Tamandua tetradactyla: one gene and its partner. The protein of the gene in region 2 binds, or shares a complex with, the protein of the main gene of each other region. Links are inferred from orthologs where the notes say so. Each region holds a gene or a part of one and is shown on either strand. Other genes may lie near its edges.

The links.
Region 1: the proteins of GINS3 (region 2) and GINS2 are in contact, whole or in part, in a crystal structure (PDB 2E9X), measured with the Homo sapiens proteins. The link is inferred for Tamandua tetradactyla from reciprocal best matches to the Homo sapiens genes GINS3 and GINS2. Residues at the interface, in NP_073607.2 of Homo sapiens: Leu13, Gly14, Tyr117, Ser121, Leu124, Asn131, Ala132, Ser135, Gln136, Leu138, Leu139, Gln140, Phe142, Ile143, Phe146, Arg147, Ile149, Met150, Asp151, Ser153, Gln154, Ala156, Met171, Gly174, Leu175, Thr178, Gly179, Gly182, Leu183, Asp185; in NP_057179.1 of Homo sapiens: Asp2, Ala3, Ala4, Glu7, Met93, Glu94, Lys97, Asn101, Trp121, Ile125, Arg129, Val130, Ala132, Asp133, Val136, Arg137, Gln139, Met151, Thr155, Ser156, Thr158, Phe159, Leu160, Gln162, Ala163, His166, Met167, Lys169, Leu170, Arg171.

Annotation. Positions count from the first base shown.
Region 1 is NC_135342.1:80,208,092-80,218,402, forward strand, and holds the start of GINS2 (DNA replication complex GINS protein PSF2), read right to left. Parts: upstream 4,404-10,311; 5' UTR 4,296-4,403; coding exon 4,206-4,295; intron 3,106-4,205; coding exon 2,991-3,105; intron 1-2,990. UniProt on the Homo sapiens protein: Required for correct functioning of the GINS complex, a complex that plays an essential role in the initiation of DNA replication, and progression of DNA replication forks.
Region 2 is NC_135342.1:52,015,679-52,026,545, reverse strand, and holds the start of GINS3 (DNA replication complex GINS protein PSF3), read right to left. Parts: upstream 4,751-10,867; 5' UTR 4,542-4,750; coding exon 4,359-4,541; intron 1-4,358. UniProt on the Homo sapiens protein: Required for correct functioning of the GINS complex, a complex that plays an essential role in the initiation of DNA replication, and progression of DNA replication forks.

The DNA of each region.
Region 1 (10,311 bases), about 28 Mb from region 2:
ATTTTCACTCATCAAGGGAAAAAGTTATCTTGCAGGCCAATGTTCATAGAAGCACTATTCACAATAGCCAAAAGATGGAAACAACCCAAGTGTTTTAGTTTCCTTGGCTGCTCAATTTAATACCATGCAATAGGTTGGCTTAAGCAATGGGAATTCATTAGCTCACAGTTTGAGGCTAGGAAAAAAACCCAAATCCAGGCCTCATCAAGGCTATGCTTTCTTTCCGAAGACTGGCATTCTGGGGCTGGCTGCTGGCAATCCTTGGTCCTCTGTCACATGGCAAGGCACATGGTGGCTTCTCTTGGTGTCTCTCTTCAATTCCAGTTTCCATTAACTTTCAGATTCTTACTTCCCACAGCTTTTTCTTTCTCAATTTCATTTTGCCTATAAAGACTCCAGTAATAGAATTAAGACCCAGTCTGACTGAAGTGGGTCACACCTGAACTGAAGTAATCTCATCAAAAGGTCCTACTTACAATGAATCCACACCCATAGGAATAAAGTTTAAGAGCATGTATTTCTGGGGTACTTATAGCTCCAAACCACCATACCAAGTGCCCATCAACAGATGAATAGATAGACAAAATGTGGTTCGCACCCACAGTGGACTGGAACATTATTCACATTTAATCATGTACCAACATGGATGAACCTTGCAAAATCATATTGAGTAAAATAAGCCAGACACGAAAGGACAAATGTTGTACGATTCCATTTCTATGAAATTACTAGAATAAGCAAATCTGCAGAGACAGACATAGGTCAGAGGTTCCTAGGGCCTGGAAGCAGGGGAGAATGGGGAGTTTACTGCTTAATGTGTTCAGTGTTTCTGCTTGGGGTGATGGGAAAATTGTGGTAATGGATGGTGGTAATGGTTGCGCAACATTGTGAATGTAGTTAATGTCACTGAGTTGTAACATGAAACTAGTTAAAATGGGAACTTTTGTGCTTATATATGTATACGTTACCACAATAAAAATTTTAAAAGGAAAAAAAAGTAGCCAGTGATTAGAGAAATTTATTTGTACTAAGCCTTGTTCAGAAGAGAACAAGACAAAATTTACAAATTACAGACACCCAGGATTGGGGGCTGAATATATAATGTAGTTGTTTAATCCCAGTGTCTGGACGTGCAGAAGAGTCCAATCCCACCCACCGCTCCACCACTGCTGCACATGTCCACAGCTCCCTCGGCCTTCCTCCCTTCCTCCCTCTTCCTCATGGGCCTGAAGAAACCCCAACTCTGGAACTGGACTGCTGAATGTGGGTAAGGGAAATGGATGGATGGACAGAAAGACAAAACTGTTGGGTCTCACTTTAAATTACTGACAACATCCCCGGTTGGTCACCTACAATCCTCTTAGTTTCCCTGGTCCATGCATCCTCTTGCTTTTATCTTCTATCCAACCACTCCATGCCATCTCCTCACATCACCAATGCTTCCTCACCCCACAGCCCAACTCTCATCGTTACCTCCTATTTTGCTGAGGAAAGAAAAGCGATCGAGAGAGAACATCTGTGCCCACCCCATCTCCCAACCTCCCTGCAGAGGGTGTAAGACTCCCCTTACCCACAAACATCACTACAGTAACTCTCACCTGACAATCCTCATTTTTCCCTTGCTACTTGATCATTACAAACACACTGTGAGAGCTCCCATCTTACTAAGAAAACCCTGGCACTAAATCCTTCTCCAGTTACCTACCATTTCTCAGGCCTTTTAGAAACAAAACTTTAAGAGTTGTCTTATGTTTACATTAACCTCTTCTCCCACTTGCTCTACACCACTCAAATTAGTGTTTATCCCAACTTTTGCACCAAAACAGGTCACCAAGGTCAATGACCTCCACTCCATTAAACCCAGTGGCTCATTATTGGTCTCAGCATTTGACAAATGCCACCCTTCTCCTTCTTTGGGTCTGTATTGCCTCACTTCTGGGGGCAGCACTGCCTCCCTGGGATCTCTTTCAACCTTGCTGGCCACTCCCTGTGTCTCTTGCTGATTGCTTCTCATGCTCCCAAGCCCTCAACCCAATCAAAGAGCTCAGTTCCTGGGTTTCTTCTTTGCCATCTAAATTCACACCCCAGATGTCCTCACCTGCCTCGCTTGAATACCACCCATGTGCTTATGATAATGACTTCCAAGTCTCAATCCCCACCCAGCTCAGCACCCCCAACTCCTGACAAGTATCCCACTGCCAACATCGTTTCCACTCAATGACCCAACAAGTCTCATATATACCTCAAGTATAATAGGATCAAACCTACTCCAGGGCCCCACTCCAGCGCATCTCCTTCTGCAGCTCCAATCAACAGCCCTGGCAGTCATTCTCTACTCTCTTCTCTCACCTCACAGTCAATCCTTCAGCAAACTCAGCTGTACAAATATACCTAGACTCCAACCACCCCTCATTACTCCATCCCGAGGCAGCCACTAACCTCCTTATCTCTATGGATTTGCCCATGCTGGACAGTTCACACAAAAGAAAACATCAACAGTCTGGCTTCTGTGGCTTAGCATAATGTTTTCAAGGTTCATCCATGTTGCAGCATGTATCAGTGCTTCGTTCCATTTTATGGTAAATAATACTCCATTGTAGGATGATGCATTCTTTTTAGGCATTCTGTATAATGTAAAATAACTCTGCTCCTGCAAACTCTAGTCTATACTTATTTATTTAAAAAAATTAAAACAAATGCTCCTTTAAGACCATGTAATATTTTAAATTTTGAAGCAAGCTGAAACATCTAAAATAAAAATCTAAACTAAAATTTTCATATACACCAAAACCAAAATAAATTTAGAAACAGTGGTTAGCAGAACCCACTAAGAGATAAATCTGGAAGTATGAATTTCAGCTGATCGGAGAACAGGTGAGTAGGGGAGCACTAAGCAAACCAGGAAGGCTGCCCCATGCCCCCACCCATCTGCAGCCTGTGTCATCCCCCATCCAGCCCCACCCAAATTACAGGTCACCACCTCTCCTTACCTACATCCATCCAGCCAGGAGGTATTAAGCGACACTTCTGTCTTTGTTTCAGGTTAACTGCCAACCAAAGAGGCACTTCTACTGGTAAACCAGGGTTAAAAGGCCCCAGATCCCCCTGCCAAAGTTAAAAACAAGCCCCCATAAGATCAGAAACAAAAAACATCATTGTACCTCATCGCTATCAGATGAGACCAACAGCCCTGTGCAAACTGAATTCCAAGTAAAAATTAAAACCAACTGTCATTACAGACCCATCATTACTTTTGCCGTTAAGCATCCCCAAACATGTGGTGCTGTGGTTTATGTATCTTCTGGACATCATCTGCTGTCATATACTGACCAGGACCTCTCAGGCAAGTATCACCTGAGCCCTGGGCTTCCCAAGTGGTGCAGACACAGCACCCATCTGATGACACCAAGAAGTACTTAGTTCAACCTGTGAGCACTTAAAGCCTTGACTCTCTTCCTTCGTTTCTGCCTACATCCTCCAGTTTCCAGAGCAATTTTTTTTTTTTCTTCACATGGGCAGGCACCGGGAAAAGAAGCTGGGGCATGGCAGGCAAGCATTCTTACCTGCTGAGCCACCGTGGCCCGCCCTGGAGCAATATTTAATGAAGAGAATTTCAGTCTCCTTGGGGTTAGGGGGAAGAAACTCTGTGCATTTATAGCCCTTGACCTTTGTCCTCTGATAAAGGCCTCAGGCCCTGGAACTTTCCCCTACATAAAACGCAAACTCTACTGACTGGGTAAGCTTGGCATAGGATTTCATCTTTAAGCCTTGATTTTCTGCTCTGAAAAATGGGAACAGAGCTGAACTGTTCCCAACTCCAATCCACGGACACTCTGACGAGAGAGTCTGGAGTGGAGGCAGAAAGCTGAATTTTAACCAGGGCCAGGGCGATTCTGACGAGGTGCGGCAAAGTCCGGCAAGCCCCAAAGTCAGTGGGGACGGTCCCCCAGGGCTGCCCTCGCTTAGACACGGCCACAGGCGCAGGCGTGCCCGGGGCACCTCACCTCTGCCCAGCCGGCTACACGCCGGGCGACCCCCAGGCAGAGGCGGGAGGCGCGGCGGAGGCCCGAGCGGCCCGGTGGGGGCCCCAGCCCAGAGGCTCCCCGGGTGTCGTCGAACAGACCGCGCGGCTGCCCAGGGCCTGGGCGCCTCTGGGCTGGGGTCTGCCCTGGGGGTCGCCACCTGCCCCAGCCCGGACGCCTTACCCCAATAAGGTAGATCTTGTCCAGGCTGAAGTTAGGGATGATGGTGACCAGCTCCTTCTCGGCCAGAAACTCTACCTCGGCCGCCTCCATGACGGCCGGCGTGGGGCTCTCCGCCTCCGTGAAGACCTCAGCTTTCCCGGGAAGACGCCACGGCCGCCGCTTTCCCGCCACGACGCGGACCCGCCCCCCTCGCCCGGAAGAGAGCCGCGGCCGGCCTATAGGAACGCGGCGCTCTCCACGGAAGACGGAGAGCGCAGTTGTTACGAGCTCGGCGATTGGCGCTCCCGAGCGAGGCTCCGGGCCGACCCCGCCCCCTCGCGTCGGGCTCGGGCTCGGGCTCGGGCCCGGGGGGGGGGGGGGGGGGGCGCCCGTGGCGGCGCACCTGGCGCTTCCCACCTGCGCACCTGGCGCCGCCGCCCGGCGCACCTGAGGCTGCGGGCTCCTGCTCCCGCCCGCGCCGCGCTGCGGGGCCTCTTGGCCTCAAAGTCCTGCACCTGGCGCCTGCCCGCCAGCACCCCGAGTCCAAACCCATAGGAGTGGACAACACAGTGATCCCTAACGTGAACCGTGACCTGTATTTACTAGTATAATCATAATAGTGTTTCATCAGTTGTAACAAAGGTACCATACAAGTACAAAATGTCAGTAATAGAGAAAGCTGTGTGTGAGGGGAGTCATAAATGAGGACTCTGTGCTTTCCACATTATTTTTCTGTAAACCTACATGGTAGTTTGAAGCTGCTCTAATTAAAAAAGAAAAAAAAAATCAGACAGAAACTAAACAAAAAATCCGCACCAGGCCGGGAGAAAATGCGTTTGTGGGCCAAACTCAGTACCAGGTGCCCGGACATGGCTGGATCCAGGCAAGCACTTTGACTGCTCCCGCAGTGGACGGTGAGAAGGACTTGTTCCCTTTAATCTCAGAATCTTCTCCCTTCTCTCTGCAGATTACTTAAAAATCTATAAAAATGACGATTCTTTCTGGCTGCCCAGACTTTCTCGTGCAGAGATTGCAGGGAAAGAGGCTCCTAATTTGTCTTTTCAAGTCTCACCTGGTGTGACTGAGGAAGGGGCAAGCTTGCACAGTCTTTGCAAATATCTCTTGATTTGTTCACTATTTGTTGTATGGGATTCCCATGACACACAGGCGTAGGTGAAACATATAATAGGAATGGTTCCCTGCTCACCATAAGACTGTGTGTAGGTATGCACATTTCTGGGGCCCTCTCCCTGGGGCATTTTAATTCAGGGGTCTGGAGGGGAAACAACTGACTTTTTTTTTTGTATGCTATATGGTGGGGTCACATTTCATTCTTTTTCCATGTGAGTATCCCATTATTGTAGCACCATTTGTTGAATTTTTGTTTGTTTTTGTTGTTTGTTTATTTTTGGGAAGTGCATGGGTCGGGAATCAACCCCAGGTCTCCCACATGGCAGTCAAGAATTCTGCTACTGAACTACCCTCGCACCTCTCCTACAGCTGACTTTTAATAGGTGTGGGGTGAAATCACCTCAGCGATAAGACTTAGGAGGTGAAGCCATTCCTCTAGAAGGCCTTGGAGGGATGGACAGGGAACTGGACTTGAACTTGAGCTCGGCCCATTAGGCCCTGAGAGAAAACATAGGCCATACCAGGATTCCAGGCTTCTGTCTCCCCACGGGAAAGCTGCCTCACCCCACCCATCCCTGTGCCTCCTCTCCCAGCCCCTTGAATCGTGCCCCACGTGGGGTTGCTGGAAGGAAAATCAACTATAACAAGCTCCACCCACTCACATGTCCTTGAAAGCTCCACGTGCTATGCATCTGCATGGAAAGCTGTCCTTTACAGACAGTGAGAGTTATCCTGTATGTTGCCTTCATTAAATCTATTTATTAAGACAAATATTTTCAAAGAAAAGAAATAAAAGGTCACACTGAATGCAGTGTGAACAAGGGCAGGTAACTGCTCTGAATCTCAGTTTCTTCATCTGCAAAATGAGGTAGGAAGAGAAGGGGCCCTGAGATGTTCAGGGAGGAGGGGAGTCTATGGGCCACCTGACCCATCCCGAAATAGATAATTCCCTCAGGCATCTGCCAGACAGTGTCTGCCAAAGTGTCTGGGTTCTGATTGACGGGTGGATATTTTCTTGACTGGCAATATTTGCGTTCCAAAGTTGGCGAGGCTTCCTTCCCTGATTCTCACAGACTGTAAAAGAGCAAAGGAGAATAGCTGGTGGGCCAGCCGAGGATCAGAGAGGCCAGCCGAGGATCAGAGAGGCCAGCTGAGGGGTGGGTAGGAGAACTGGAGAGCCCAGTGTCAGTGGTCTGGGTCCAGCTCTCCAAGTCACTCATCTTCTCTGAGCCTCAGTTTCCTTATTGGTAAAATGGGGACAATGCTGCTACTTGTCTTACCTGGCTGTTGGGAAAACAAAAAAGAGATTGTGTGGGTACGACATTGCTTTAGAGGCTGCAAAATGATGGGGCGTTGATGTCCCAAATTCTAGTGTATGTCAGAAGCACCTGGGGACTTATTAAATGTCCCTCCTTTCATAGTAGCATGACTTGGAATAGTCAAAAGGTAGAAACAACCCACGTGTCCATCAATTGATAACAGATAAGCAAATGTACTATATCCGTACAAGGTGATACCATTTGCCATAGAAAGGATTGAAGTTCTGATACATGCTACGACATGGATGAACCTTGAAAATTGTTCTGGAATTTGGATAGTACTAATGGTTGTATAAATCTGGTAATATACTAAAAACCAGCGACTTGTGCACTTTCAAAGGGTGAATTTTTTATATGTGAATTATTCCTCAGTCAAACAGTTCCTAAGAGCCAGGCTCAGACTTTCTGACCTGGGGATCTGCAGTGGGTCAGGGAAACCACACACGCAAGCTCTTTGAAGGTTTCAATAATTGGGAAAACTGGGAAGCAAAGTAATTTTCCCCAGTAATTTGCACTCCAACTCTGACTTACTCGGCGGGGCCCAGGCTTGAGAGGCCTTCTGAATTACTGGGTGTCTGCCCCATACGTGGTCTGAGTGAGAGGACCAGACATTTAACAGAGAAGGTGTAAGTGCCTGAAAAAAACTAAAGCAGAGTAGGGGTGGAGAATGGTGTGTGTGGGGGGGCTACTTTAGATGCGGTGGTCAGGTCTCACCACTATTTTGTGTTCTAAAAAAGCGTTTCCCCTAGAAGTATCCAGGTGGTAACGGATTAGAGCTGGCAACATCAATATGAGCTCACTGTAGCTTAATAGAGATGCAGATGGTTGCACAGAGAAATGTTTGTAGGTGTGTGTACACAGACAGGTTAGTGTACACACGTCTATTTTTTTGGTCAGCAGCTGAGAAGGCCTGGAAATCATGACAGCCCAGGAGCAAAGAGCACACCAGCACCCAGATCTTGGTTTCTAAATACAATCCTGAAAAAAAAAAACAGGGATCCTGAAGCAATGGCTGATTCCAGGACTGGGGCAGAAAACACATGAGATGAACCTAGAACATCTTGTAATGCCAGGAAGTAAGGAAGTATATGTGTGTGTGTGTGTGATGGGACATGTCAGAGAGATACAGGAGCCAAACTGAAAGCTCCCAATGGACAAAGCCAAACTCAATTTGAGCAACAAAATAAATAAAGTATTATCAGAGAGTAATCATCAAAGTATCAAATAAAGGCTCCTGAGTCCATTCTGTTATAAACAAATAAACGATGACTCTCTGGTACAGAAGAATTCCAAAGAATTTTCACAGACGCTCTGCCCTGCAGAAGGTGGAACTCCAGCCCCACTCCTAAGGTGCGGCTGCCCTTGGTGACTTCCTTCCAAGGGGTGTGGAAAGGGAGGAGAGCATAGAGTGACCTGACAGTGACGAAACCTGACCATGTCGGAGAGCCTGTCCCAGCCAACAGGAGCCTGCAGAGACAGGATGACTGAAGGTCACGTGGGATCCCGGGACAGAAAAAGGACATTAGATAGAAACTAAGGACATCTGAATAAATTTATGGCCTTAGTTAACAATAACATGTCAATGTTGGCTTATTAGAGGTTTTTTAATTGCAGTAACACGCAAACCAACTAAAATTTCCTATTTTAACTATTCGCACATATACAATTCAGTGGCATGAAGATTCATTTGTTTTGACCAACGTACCATAATTGTAGCATAACATAAGGTATTATTAACAGGGCACACTCGGTGTGGGGGAGGTGGGAGCCCCTTATACTATCTTTGCAACTTTTCTGGAAATCTAAGCTTATTCTAAAATAAAATGTGCCACCCTGTTGACTCCCCGGGACACCTGAAACTCACAGCAATGATCGTTCCCTCCCCTAGCGGTGAACATGTCTCTGCCTCTGGAGTAGTCGGCGCTGCAATATCTTTTGGTCGACTCAGAATTTAGCAGAATTCTCCAAATCCGCCATCAACGCAGACACCTTCTTTTAAAGCAGTGGGATTTCAGGCAGCAGCGGTGAGGGTGGGGCGGGGGCGGGCTCTGTGGCTGCCCTGCCCAGGACAGGGGCCACCAGCCACGTGTGGGAACCGAAGCCACCTGCGCGAGGACAGCCCACCAAAGCCAACCCACACGGCGTTCTGGGTTGAGCAGGTTTGGGAAACCCCACGAGGACTGTGTTAGTTCAATGGTGACTCTACCCTAAGGACTGGGTGCCCCCCACCTGGGGCCAGGGAAATGATGAACAGCAGGGAAGACACGATGAGGTCGGGAACAGAAGAGAGGTTCTCAGGCCTGGCTGTGCATGGGAAGAGAGTTCCGGATGCCCAGGCCGCACCCTGCACCAGATGAAGCAGAAGTGCTGGGGTTGGGGCCTGGGCATCTGCATCTTTCAGAGCTTCCTAGCCAAGGTTAAGAGCTGGGGTTCGGGCATAACTAAGCTGAACCTCTCCCCTTTGTCTCTCAGGACCCTATTGTAGGGGAAAGCAATGACTAGCAGCTCCTGGCATGGTCACCAAGAGAAGGAAGGGGCTAGAGATATGGTCCCAGCAACAAAAAGAAAAAAGAAAGAAACAGAATGGAAAACACCTCCTCCGGGTATCAGTCTATAGATGCCTTCTCTTGCCTCTGCTCAAACAGGTGGCACAGGATAGGGCCTTGAGAACTAGAAATTGTTACCTTCCAAACCGGAGTCCCTCCCGTGTCTCAGGTGCACGCGTGTTGCGGGAGGGCCGGCTGCTGGGGGACTTGGCCACTGGCCTGCCCTCGGTGTCCCTGCGTTAAAGTGGGGGTGCTGCCACGACCTTCTGCAGGGCTGGTCTCGGTGGGCAACACCCCAGGCTGGTGTTGTGGGCAGCGTTGGTCCAATGGCTTGTGCCCACACCTTGTCAGGACACCTCCGTGTCCCAGGGCCTCTGTGAGGCTAACAGGGATGGGTGCAGGTGAAGCCCCTAAAAGGGGGGAGCTCCTACTCCTAGTAATAATGGTATTTCTTTCTCACAAGAGCCCTCCGAGCTATTATCATCGTAGTTGAGTGTGGGGCTCCAAGGGCAAGGAAAGAAGCAAGGACCTGGCTGTCCTAAGCCACTTCCAGGGACTTGGACTCCATCCTGAGGGCAGTGAAGCATTTCGGGGATGCAGGTCGGGGGAGTGACGTGAATAGACTTGCATTTTAGAAAGGAAACTGCGTGGCAGATGGAGCAGGGCGGGCCACACCTGGCGGCAGGAGACTGCCCTGGAAGCTGGGAGCACAAGTCCAGGTAAGGCTTTCACACCTGGTGTCCTAGGGTAGAGGCTGTGGGCACCGAAAATGGGATCTGTCTGAACCCATAGCCCCTCTACTGTCTGTGATGTTTCCAGAAGCTTCCACACCTGAACCAGGTGGCCACAGGTATTTCTCCACCTACCTGTGGCTCAGGCAGTGAGTCCCAGCCCTCCTGGGGGGAACGGGGCTGTGTTTTCCTCTCCACGCTAGCCCGGTTCCTGGCTCTGGCACAGCTCTCATGCCAGCCCCTCGCGCATGCCACGCTGCGCCAGGCGCTCTCGGATGGCTCCGACATGGTGTGAATACGCTCTTGTGTCTTTTTGCCATCTGCTGCTGTCATTAAAAAATTACATTTCCATCTGTTTTCACACTTTTCTCCCCTCCTCTCCTCCCTTCCTGGAGCAATA
Region 2 (10,867 bases):
AAGACAAGGATGTCCACTATCACCACTATTATTCAACATTGTGTTGGAGGTTCTAGCCAGAGCAATTAGACAAGAAAAAGAAATACAAGGCATCAAAATTGGAAAGGAAGAAGTAAAACTATCACTGTTTGCAGATGATATGATACTATACGTCGAAAACCCGGAAAAATCCACAACAAAACTACTAGAGCTAATAAATGAGTACAGCAAAGTAGCAGGTTACAAGATCAACATTCAAAAATCTGTAGCATTTCTATACACTAGTAATGAACAAGCTGAGGGGGAAATCAAGAAACGAATCCCATTTACAATTGCAACTAAAAGAATAAAATACCTAGGAATAAATTTAACTAAAGAGACAAAAAACCTATATAAAGAAAACTACAAAAAACTGCTAAAAGAATTCACAGAAGACCTAAATAGATGGAAGGGCATACCGTGTTCATGGATTGGAAGACTAAATATAGTTAAGATGTCAATCCTACCTAAATTGATTTACAGATTCAATGCAATACCAATCAAAATCCCAACAACTTATTTTTCAGAAATAGAAAAACCAATAAGCAAATTTATCTGGAAGGGCAGGGTGCCCCGAATTGCTAAAAACATCTTGAGGAAAAAAAACGAAGCTGGAGGTCTCGCGCTGCCTGACTTTAAGGCATATTATGAAGCCACAGTGGTCAAAACAGCATGGTATTGGCATAAAGATAGATATATCGACCAATGGAATCGAATAGAGTGCTCAGATATAGACCCTCTCATCTATGGACATTTGATCTTTGATAAGGCAGTCAAGCCAACTCACCTGGGACAGAGCAGTCTCTTCAATAAATGGTGCCTAGAGAACTGGATATCCATATGCAAAAGAATGAAAGAAGACCCATCTCTCACACCCTATACAAAAGTTAACTCAAAATGGATCAAAGATCTAAACATTAGGTCTAAGACCATAAAACAGTTAGAGGAAAATGTCGGGAGATATCTTATGGATCTTACAACTGGAGGCGGTTTTATGGACCTTAAACCTAAAGCAAGAGCACTGAAGAAGGAAATAAATAAATGGGAACTCCTCAAAATTAAACACTTTTGTGCATCAAAGAACTTCATCAAGAAAGTAGAAAGACAGCCTTCACAATGGGAGACAATATTTGGAAATGATATATCAGATAAAGGTCTAGTATCCAGAATTTATAAAGAGATTGTTCATCTCAACAACAAAAAGACAGCCAACCCAATTACAAAATGGGAAAAAGACTTGAACAGACACCTCTCAGAAGAGGAAATACGGATGGCCAAGAGGCACATGAAGAGATGCTCAATGTCCCTGGCCATTAGAGAAATGCAAATCAAAACCACAATGAGATATCATCTCACACCCACCAGAATGGCCATTATCAACAAAACAGAAAATGACAAGTGCTGGAGAGGATGCGGAGAAAGAGGCACACTTATCCACTGTTGGTGGGAATGTCAAAGGGTGCAACCACTGTGGAAGGCAGTTTGGCGGTTCCTCAAAAAGCTGAATATAGAACTGCCATACGACCCAGCAATACCATTGCTAGGTATCTACTCAAAGGACTTAAGGGCAAAGACACAAACGGACATTTGCACACCAATGTTTATAGCAGCATTATTTACAATTGCAAAGAGATGGAAACAGCCAAAATCTCCATCAACAGAAGAGTGGCTAAACAAACTGTGGTATATACATACGATGGAATATTATGCAGCCTTAAGAGAAGATAAACTTATGAACCATGTAATAACATGGATGGACCTAGAGAATATTATGCTGAGTGAATCCAGCCAAAAACTAAAGGACAAATACTGTATGGTCCCACTGATGTGAACGGACATTCGAGAATAAACTTGAAATATGTCATTGGTAACAGAGTTCAGCAGGAGTTAGAAACAGGGTAAGACAATGGGTAATTGAAGCTGAAGGGATACAGACTGTGCAACAGGACTAGATACAAAAACTCAAAAATGGACAGCACAATAATACCTAATTGTAAAGTAATCATGTTAAAACACTGAATGAAGCTGCATCTGAGCTATAGGTTTTTGTTTTGTTTTGTGTTGTTTTGTTTTGATTTTACTATTATTACTTTTATTTTTTTCTCTATATTAACATTCTATATCTTTTTCGGTTATGTTGCTAGTTCTTCTAAACCAATGCAAATGTACTAAGAAATGATGATCATGCATCTATGTGATGATGTTAAGAATTAATGATTGCATGTGTAGAATGGTATGATCTCTAAATGTTGGGTTAATTTCTTTTTTTCCGTTAATTAAAAAAAAAAAAAAAAAGAGAAGGGATAATTGGAGATGAAGGGATACAGACTGTACAACGGGACTGGATATAAAAACTCAGAAATGGACAGCACAATACTACCCAATTGTAATGCAATTATGTTAAAACACTGAATGAAGCTGCATGTGAGGTATAGGTTTTTTGTTTTTGTTTTTTTTGTTTTTTTTCTTTCTATTATTGTTTTAATTCTTATTCTGTTGTCTTTTTATTTCTTTTTCTAAATCGATGCAAATGTACTAAGAAATGATGAATATGCAACTATGTGATGTTATTAAGAATTACTGATTGTACATGTAGATTGGAATGATTTCTAATTGTTTTGTTAATTCTTTTTTTAATTAATAAAAAAAAATAAACTCATGACACCTGTAAAAATATTAAAGCATCTGTTCTAGTTTGCTAGCTGCAGGGATGCAATATACCAGAAATGGAATGGCTTTTATTAAGGGGAATTAATAAGTTGCTAGTTTACCATTCTAAGGTCAAGAAAATGTCCCAATTACAACAAGTCTATAGAAATGTCCAATCAAAAGCATCCAGGGAAAGACACCTTGGTTCAAGAAGGCTGATGAAGTTCAGGGTTTCTCTCTCAAGTGAGAAAGTACATGGTGAACAAGGTCAGTGTTCCTCTCTCATCTGGAAGGGCACATGGTGAACACGGCATCATCTGCTAGCTGCTTCTCCTGGCTTCCTGTGTCATGATGCTCCCGGGGAGACATTTTCCTTCATCTCCAAGGGTCGCTGCCTGGTGGACTCTGCTTCTCATGGCTATGTCATTCTGCTCTGTTCTCTCTGAACCTCTCATTCTCCAAAATGTTTCCTCTCTTACAGGATTCCAGAAACCTATCAAGACCCACCCAAATGGGTTGAGACAAGTCGTCACCCAATCCAGCTTAACAACCACTCTTGATTAAATCACATCTTCAGGGGGATGATCTGATTACAATTTCAAACATACAGTGTTGAATAAGGACTACTGTGCCTTTATGAAATGGGATTCAGATTAAAATATGGCTTTTCTAGGGGACATACATCCTTTGAATCCAGCTCAGCATCTGTGTTAACAAACAAAACTTTGTGTATGTAATATTTTGATAAAAATTAACTCAAAACAGGGTGCAAGGTAGTTCAGTGGTAGAATTCCAATCTGCCATGTGGGAGAACTGGGTATGATTCTGGCTGTGCCCTTCCCCCCAACCCACTTCCCCCAAAAGAAAACTCAACAAATGTACTTCAATAATGGGATAGTCACATGGAAAAAGAATGAAACGTGGCCCCACCACACAGCATACAAAAAAGAAGAACTAAAAACAGACCAAACAGAACAACCCTCCAAATGAAACTCAGGTCAAAGAGGAAACCAATCACGGCCATTATAGGCCATGCTTTCCTAGAAAGAATTTGGATTTCAAGTCTTACAGGCCTAGGTTCGAATGGCCAAAAACTGTGGGCCCAGACATGTTACTCAACCTTTCCAGGGTCCTCGTTCGTAACAATATCTACAGACTGCTGAAAGTTTAAAGGGGTAATAGATGGAAAAGGTTACCTCCCTCACCCCCATCCTTACTGGCACTAAATCCTCAGGTAATGGTTTTTGACACCATCACCATTATGCAGGAGTGAATCTAAAATTTGTGGTTTCCAGATCTAGCACATGCTCTTACCCAAAGCTCTGTTTTAAGGTAAACGAGATTGCAACCCTGATCTCCTGAAGTATTCAGTACCAGCCTATTCTCAGCATTCACCTCAATGTGGGGGGAAAAGATTGCTGAATTTGGACAATTTCAAAAATGAAATCAATGTTGCAGCAGTCAGAAAACCTACGTTCAGTTTAGTTTCCGCCTAGGTGGCAAGCGCCAGGCCAAGACACCTCTGCTTAGGCGCCAGGAGACAGGAGGGGAGAACTCATTGCAGGGCATGGCCCGTCCTGCCCCGGAAACTACAAATCCCAGAGGACGCCGTGGGCCCCGCCGGGCGACGCGGTGTCCGCCAGGAGTTGCATGTAGTCTTTACGGGTGGGAAGCAATAGCGAAGGATTTACCTGAGGGATCGCGTTGTGAGTCTCGGGGCCTCCGCTCCGCTCCAAGAAGGCGCCGAGGCGAGGCAAGGCGGTCTCCGTGCGCACCGGGAGTTTTTCGTGGGACGTGAGAATGTCGTCTAGGGAAAGAAAGTTCTCCTCAGGCCCCAGCGCACCCGACTCCACCGGGAAATAAGCCTCCGACATGGCGCCGGCTTCGGCTTCTTTACTTCCACTCGCGTGACTCGGAAGGCCTTAGGTGGTCGGGCGTGTGAAAGGCGGGGGCTGCTTGGCTTTGTTAAGAGTATGGCGATAGCCGCAGCCCCGGGCCGGCTTGAAAAACTGCTCTTTCCCGCGCTCTGGGTGGGGCCAGACCGAAGCAGCCGATCCAGGCCAGTCTGCTGGGTTGGGCACATTGCCCAGGCAAAAGCAATCGATAAAACCTGGCGACTAGGTCCAGAGTTACAGGCGGAGGCTCCCGGTGGGTGGATCCGCCGGAAGTTGATCTCCTTTCGAGGGCAGATCAATGTGGGAGTGTTATAAAGAAGCTGTAAATGCCCATAGACGCTTCAGTATGCATTTAAACTGGCTTATGTTTATTCGGTCCTTTAGACTTGTATATAAAATTAAAAGTACTTTGCAAAACTTTTGGGGGATTAAAAGAAAAAAACAATAAAGCATCGCTGTGCCCTCCACCCCAGGCCTGATTAATTCTGACCCATTTGTTGCAGTTTTTTACTGTGCATCTTTGTTAGTCTTGGTACTTGAAATAAAAATGTAAAAAAAGAGAGAGAGAGAGACCCCAGAACTACCCCCCAGATAAATATTTGGACTAGATTATGAGGTATTTGTAGGATTTTGGTGGGAGTATGGGTGAGGTGGGAGGAGGGGTGAAGCTGGACTGCATATGGCTCACAAATGTCTTGAGTCTATTTCATTACCTCACAGTCACCTTACCACCAGCTGGCATTCTCCTTTTGTGGCTTTTCATCTCTTTAGTCTGCTATTTTTCACTGTTATCTCCCCACTGCAAAGCGCATGTTAGGCACTTAATAAATCTGTGTTCAATGAATAAATGGCTCTTTATTTATACTAGTGATATTAAATTTCCTTTAAAACATTAAACAAAAATAATGAATCAACTTTAAGTAAATAATAGTACAGATGGTATGCAGATACTGTAACAGTCACAAAGGGTAGTGGGCAAATGAATCCCTGAAAAACTGAATTAAAGTGGTAAACAGTTTTGCCAAGGTACAGGTTAAATGCACATATTCTCTAGATCTATAAGCTCGAGTTGTTAGTATCAAGATGAAAACTCAATGGTTGGGCTCCACTAATTTAGATTTATATTTTGTTGAAGTTTTGGTAGGACTGTATCGAATTTTACCTTTACAAAACTGTAAAAATAGAATGCTTAAGCAAACGGAGTTAGCAAGATTTGAAATGGCCTAGTTCCCTACCTATGAAGCATTTCAATTACAGTGTTACTTCTAGAACCTTACAAGCCTGTAAGAGTCCAATTTCCACCACTTTAATGGATTTTATGACCTTGGATGAGTTGCTTACCTCCCAGAAACTTAGTTTCTGAATCTATAAAATGGGATAATGACGGTAGCTCACAGAGTATGTAGTGAGTGAATGAGCCAATGAAGACAGAACACTTAGCTCAGGGTCTGGACCATAGTTAGGTCTGAATAAACATTCCTTCTTATCATCATGATTCACACGTTTGTTCACCACTGTATCCTCAGTACCTCAATACCTGGCATGTAGCAGGCATTCAATGAATATCTGTCAACTAGCAATCATTCTATCATTACTGATATAGACTTGGCTATACCTGCCTCTCTCCCTAATCCAAATTACTAAATGTACTTGGAGGTAATACAACATTATTCTACAATTCAACTATTTCCTGCAAAAATTCAGGTAGAATTTCTATCTTTTCAGTTCAAATTATTAGAGGTTTTTCTCTATTTTGAAATCACTGTACTAAGTAAGGTTAATAAATTTGAATTACTGGAGTTCATTTTTATATAATGTAAATGTTCTTTTGGTTGAGCTATTTCTTGAGCACTGCTCCAAAACGCCTTCCTTGAGATCAAAATAAATTGATGGGCACAATGTGACCTTATGTGTGGGTAGTGCCAAGTTTAGATTCTTCCCACAGTCTTCAGCAATACTAGCAGAAATTGTAAACCCAGCTTTATATATTCAGAAAAATTTTGTATGTGTGTTTCACCCTCACAACTTGGCAAAGGAGCAGCTATCACATCATTATAATAGAGGTAATTTAATCCAACTTTTCTTTTTCTGTGTTCCAGGTCCATAAAAATATCCTTTTCTACCAACCTTATATTTTCATCCCTTTCTGGTAATTTATTATGTATTTAATCCATGATCTGATAGCTAGAGTTTCTCTCTGTTCAAGAGGGAAAGTGGGCAGATTAATTAGTTTGGGGAGAAAATGCAGAAGAATGGCTGTCATTTCCTCATCAGATTGTTCAGATGCTATTTGATGCCCTGCAGATGTGGATACAAAGAAGATGATGAACTGTTCTGGACTGTTAAGGAGCTCAGTGTCCAATGGAGGAAAGAGTAGTATGATATGATAAAAGCTTTGAGAGAACCATATCCAAAATGTTATAGAAGCTCAGAAGAAGGAGTGGTGAATTCTGAGAAGTGGTAAATTCTGAGAAGGTGTGGTGAATTCTGACCAGGACGAGAAGATGGGTTTATGAAGTCTTTACAGAGGGAGAAAGGCCAGAACAGGGCCCTAGGACATGAGTAGGACTTTCTTAGCAGGCCCACAAATGTAAAGAGGGGAACATTTCCAGCTCAGGGATCAACTTGGTGCAAAGATTTAGAACTCTGAAAGTTCAGGATGAAACATCTCTCTTTTCAATGCACGCTCTCCTTTTTCCTTGTATATACTGTTTAATGACCCCATCATCCATCTAGTTACTTGTATCTTTATATGGCACGTAAGAAAATCCAATTCAAATTGACTCAAAAGACAAGGGGATTTCTAGGCTCCCATAACTGGACAGTCCAGGGCTTCACAGTTGGTTGATCCAGCAACCCAAGCTTGTCATTGGGAATCCAGCTCTCTTTTTTCTGCACAGAATGAGCTCCCATCTATGGCTCATTCCTCTGAGATCTCAAGATGATTGCCAATTATGTCAGGGCAACAAGCTTCCTTGTTTTCATCCTGTGCTTCCCATTTGGGTCCCAGCATTCCAAACTAGAGTTCTGACATTCACCCTGATTGGCAGGTTTAGATCACATGCTCATTCCTGGACCAAGAAGTATAGCCAGGGCAATGGAATGTGCTAATTAATGTAAGTCTGTCAAGGCCCACCTCTAAGGTAGGACTGAGGTCAACTTCCCTAAAGCATATGGGCTGCACAACGGGGGAGGTTGAGGGTGTTTTCCTGAGTAACAATCTGGGTGCTTTTAGGAAGGGAGCAGCTGGGTACAATAAATAAATGTACATTGCAATCATTATCCAATTCAGAAACATGGGAATAATTCACCATTGCTTCCTTTCTCACCTCCCTGTATCCAATCAGTCAAAAGATCACCCATACAGTTAACGTGCCTCCTAACTGGTCTCTCTGCCTTCACTATCTCCTTGTCCCAAAGTTCCATTGTACTAGTCTTATTGCCATCTTCCTACCCCAAAGACCGATCTTGTTACGCCTCAGCCTAAAACCCAACTGGCTCGCCATTGGTTACAGAATAAATTCTATACTCCTTGGTATGTCATACGAGTCTTCCATGATCAGATTTCCGTCTTCATTTCTCTGACACTTCCTCATAGTTACTCTACAGTACAGTTTCCCAAGATCACAGTTTGTTCATGTCTCAATGTCTTTGCCTGTGATGTTCCCTCTCCCTGGACTGTCTTTTCCTTTTCTCTTCACCTCGCTAACGTTTAGTCCTCCTCCACCTCTCAGCTCCAGATTGAGCTAAGTTTCTTTTCTCTCTGTACTCTAACATCTGTTCTAGTCTGCTATCTTAATGCTTACTGCATTACAGTGAAATTACTATAACTCCCCTACTAGACCACAGGCTCCCCAGAGGCAGGAATAATGCCTTTATTCATTGGCATATACTGGTATTTGGTGACTGCTTGCTTAAATGCCCCACTAAAGCATGAAAGAAATATGTACTGAACCCCACGTTGTTTTAAAAATAGAGCCTTGAGAACTGGGTTGAATTGAAAACAAAATAGTAATATTATATACCCCTAATATATGGAAAGATAATACAGTACCCATCTATGTTTAGGAAGTAACCTTTTGATTTCATTTTAAGCAAAATTTAAACTCTTCATCTTCAAATTAAGTAAATCCAACAAAAAATTTTCCTTTTTTTTCACCTATCAGGTTGGCAAAGATTTTAAATTTATGAAGACACTCGGTTGGATGGGACTATATTGGTTCAACCTCTTTGGAGGGCAATTCAGCACTATCAGAATGTAATATGAACATACTCATTGATCTGGCAATTCTATTTCTAGATTTTTTTCTACAATACCCTGCAAATGTTTGGAAGGATATGTACAAGGACTTCAACTGACGCATTGTTCCTAATAAAAGAAAAGGTTAGAATCAACTAAATAACTATTAATAGGACACTGGTAAATAAATTATGGCAATTTTACTATTGGAATATTGCAAATTCATTTAAAAAATGAGGTAGATCCATGTGACTATATGAAATGATCTCCAAGTTATATTCATATGTTTTAAAAAAAAACCACTGCATGACGGAAAGAAAAAGAAATGAAAGGCATACAGATTGGAAAGAAAAATAAACCCTTCTATTTGCAGAAAAGAATAATGGCACCTCAAATGCTGATGAGGATGCAAAGAAACTGGATGATTCATACATTGCTGGCGGGAATGAAAAATGGTATAGCAACATTGGAAAACAGTTTGGGAGTTTCTTACAAAACTAAAACACACAATCACTAATGACGTAGCGATTGCACTCTTGGGCGTCTATCCCAAAGAAATGAAAATTTATGTTCACACAAAAACTTGTCCATGAATGTTCATAGCAGCTTTATTCATAATGGCCCCAAACTGCAGACAACCCAGATGTCCTCCAACGGATGATTGGTTAAACAAACTACGGTACATCTGTACCATGGAATACCACTCAGCCATTAAGAGGAACGGCCTATTGATACACACAACTTGGCCGAATCTTCAGGAAATTATGCTGAAAGGAAAACCGCCAATCCCAAAATATACTGTCTCCATTTATATAACATTTTTGAAAAGATAAAATTTTACAAATGGAGAACAGATTAGTGCTTGCCAGGAGTTCCGGATGGCGGACGGGAGGCAGGTGGGAGGTGGATGTGGTTATAAACAGGCAATACAGGGGATGCTTGTGGGGGCGGAACTCTTCTGTAGCTTGTCTGTGGTAGTGGATACATGAGCCAACACCCAGGATAAAATTGTCTAGAACTTAATATGTATAAATGAGTACAGGTAAAACTCGGGAAACCTGAATCAGGTGGATCGATTGTATCAACGCCGATATCCTGATTGTGATACTGCATTATAGTTTTGCAAGATGTTCCATTGGTGGAAACTGGGTAAGGGTTACTCATATCTCTCTATATTATTTCTCACCATTGACAATGATCTCAAATAGTTTAATAAAGAAAAAAAGCAAGGTGGAGAACAATGCGTCTAGCATGTTATCATTTTTATGAAAATGGGGGCTATCAATTTAGAGATATGCTTATATTTGCATAGACTATTTCTGGAAAGATATTAATAAAAATGGCCATGGAGGTTGTCTCTAGGAGTTGGAGGGTCAAGGAGACTGGCTTTTCACTGAATACCCTTTTGTACAGTTTGAAGTTTTAAAACTAAGCATGCATTGTTTTTATTAAAAACTCTAAGAACTTAAAAAATAAAGCAACTATGCTTTTTAACTTTATTCCACCCTTGTTTGGTTCTCCTCATGGTTTAGTGATTTGTTTCTCTGCTCCCTGCTCTGAAACCCACGACAAGTACTCATTATTCCCCTTTAAATATACAGGGCCCATATGTTTTTTGACTGTTATACTTAATCCTTAGTTCTCATTTGTGTGGGTGTGTACGTACAGTGTTTGGCATGTACACCTGTGATTCCCAGCCTGAGGCCAATAAACCCCTGGCAAAGGTTAACAATACCTGCTCACTTATTTTTGATGCTAGAAAAACTGAACATATCTCCTCATTAGAATGTATAAATAAGTTAAAGGTTTTTAAAGTTTTTACTCACATTACATATCATTTCAAGTTTGTTAACCTGGTTATCTCATGCTTATTAGGAGTTCTGATTGGCAGCTTTAGAATTCTTGATAAAAACCTGAACTGATTAAATAAGTTTTAACAGATCTTGCAAAATAAGGGGTTCTTGGTAGAAAGATGGGGGACTGTTCTACTCGAGGCTTAGTGAAAAATTTTAAATTGATATGTATACCAGTTATTGTTACTTCTTCCCTAAATTCAAAGTTTTCT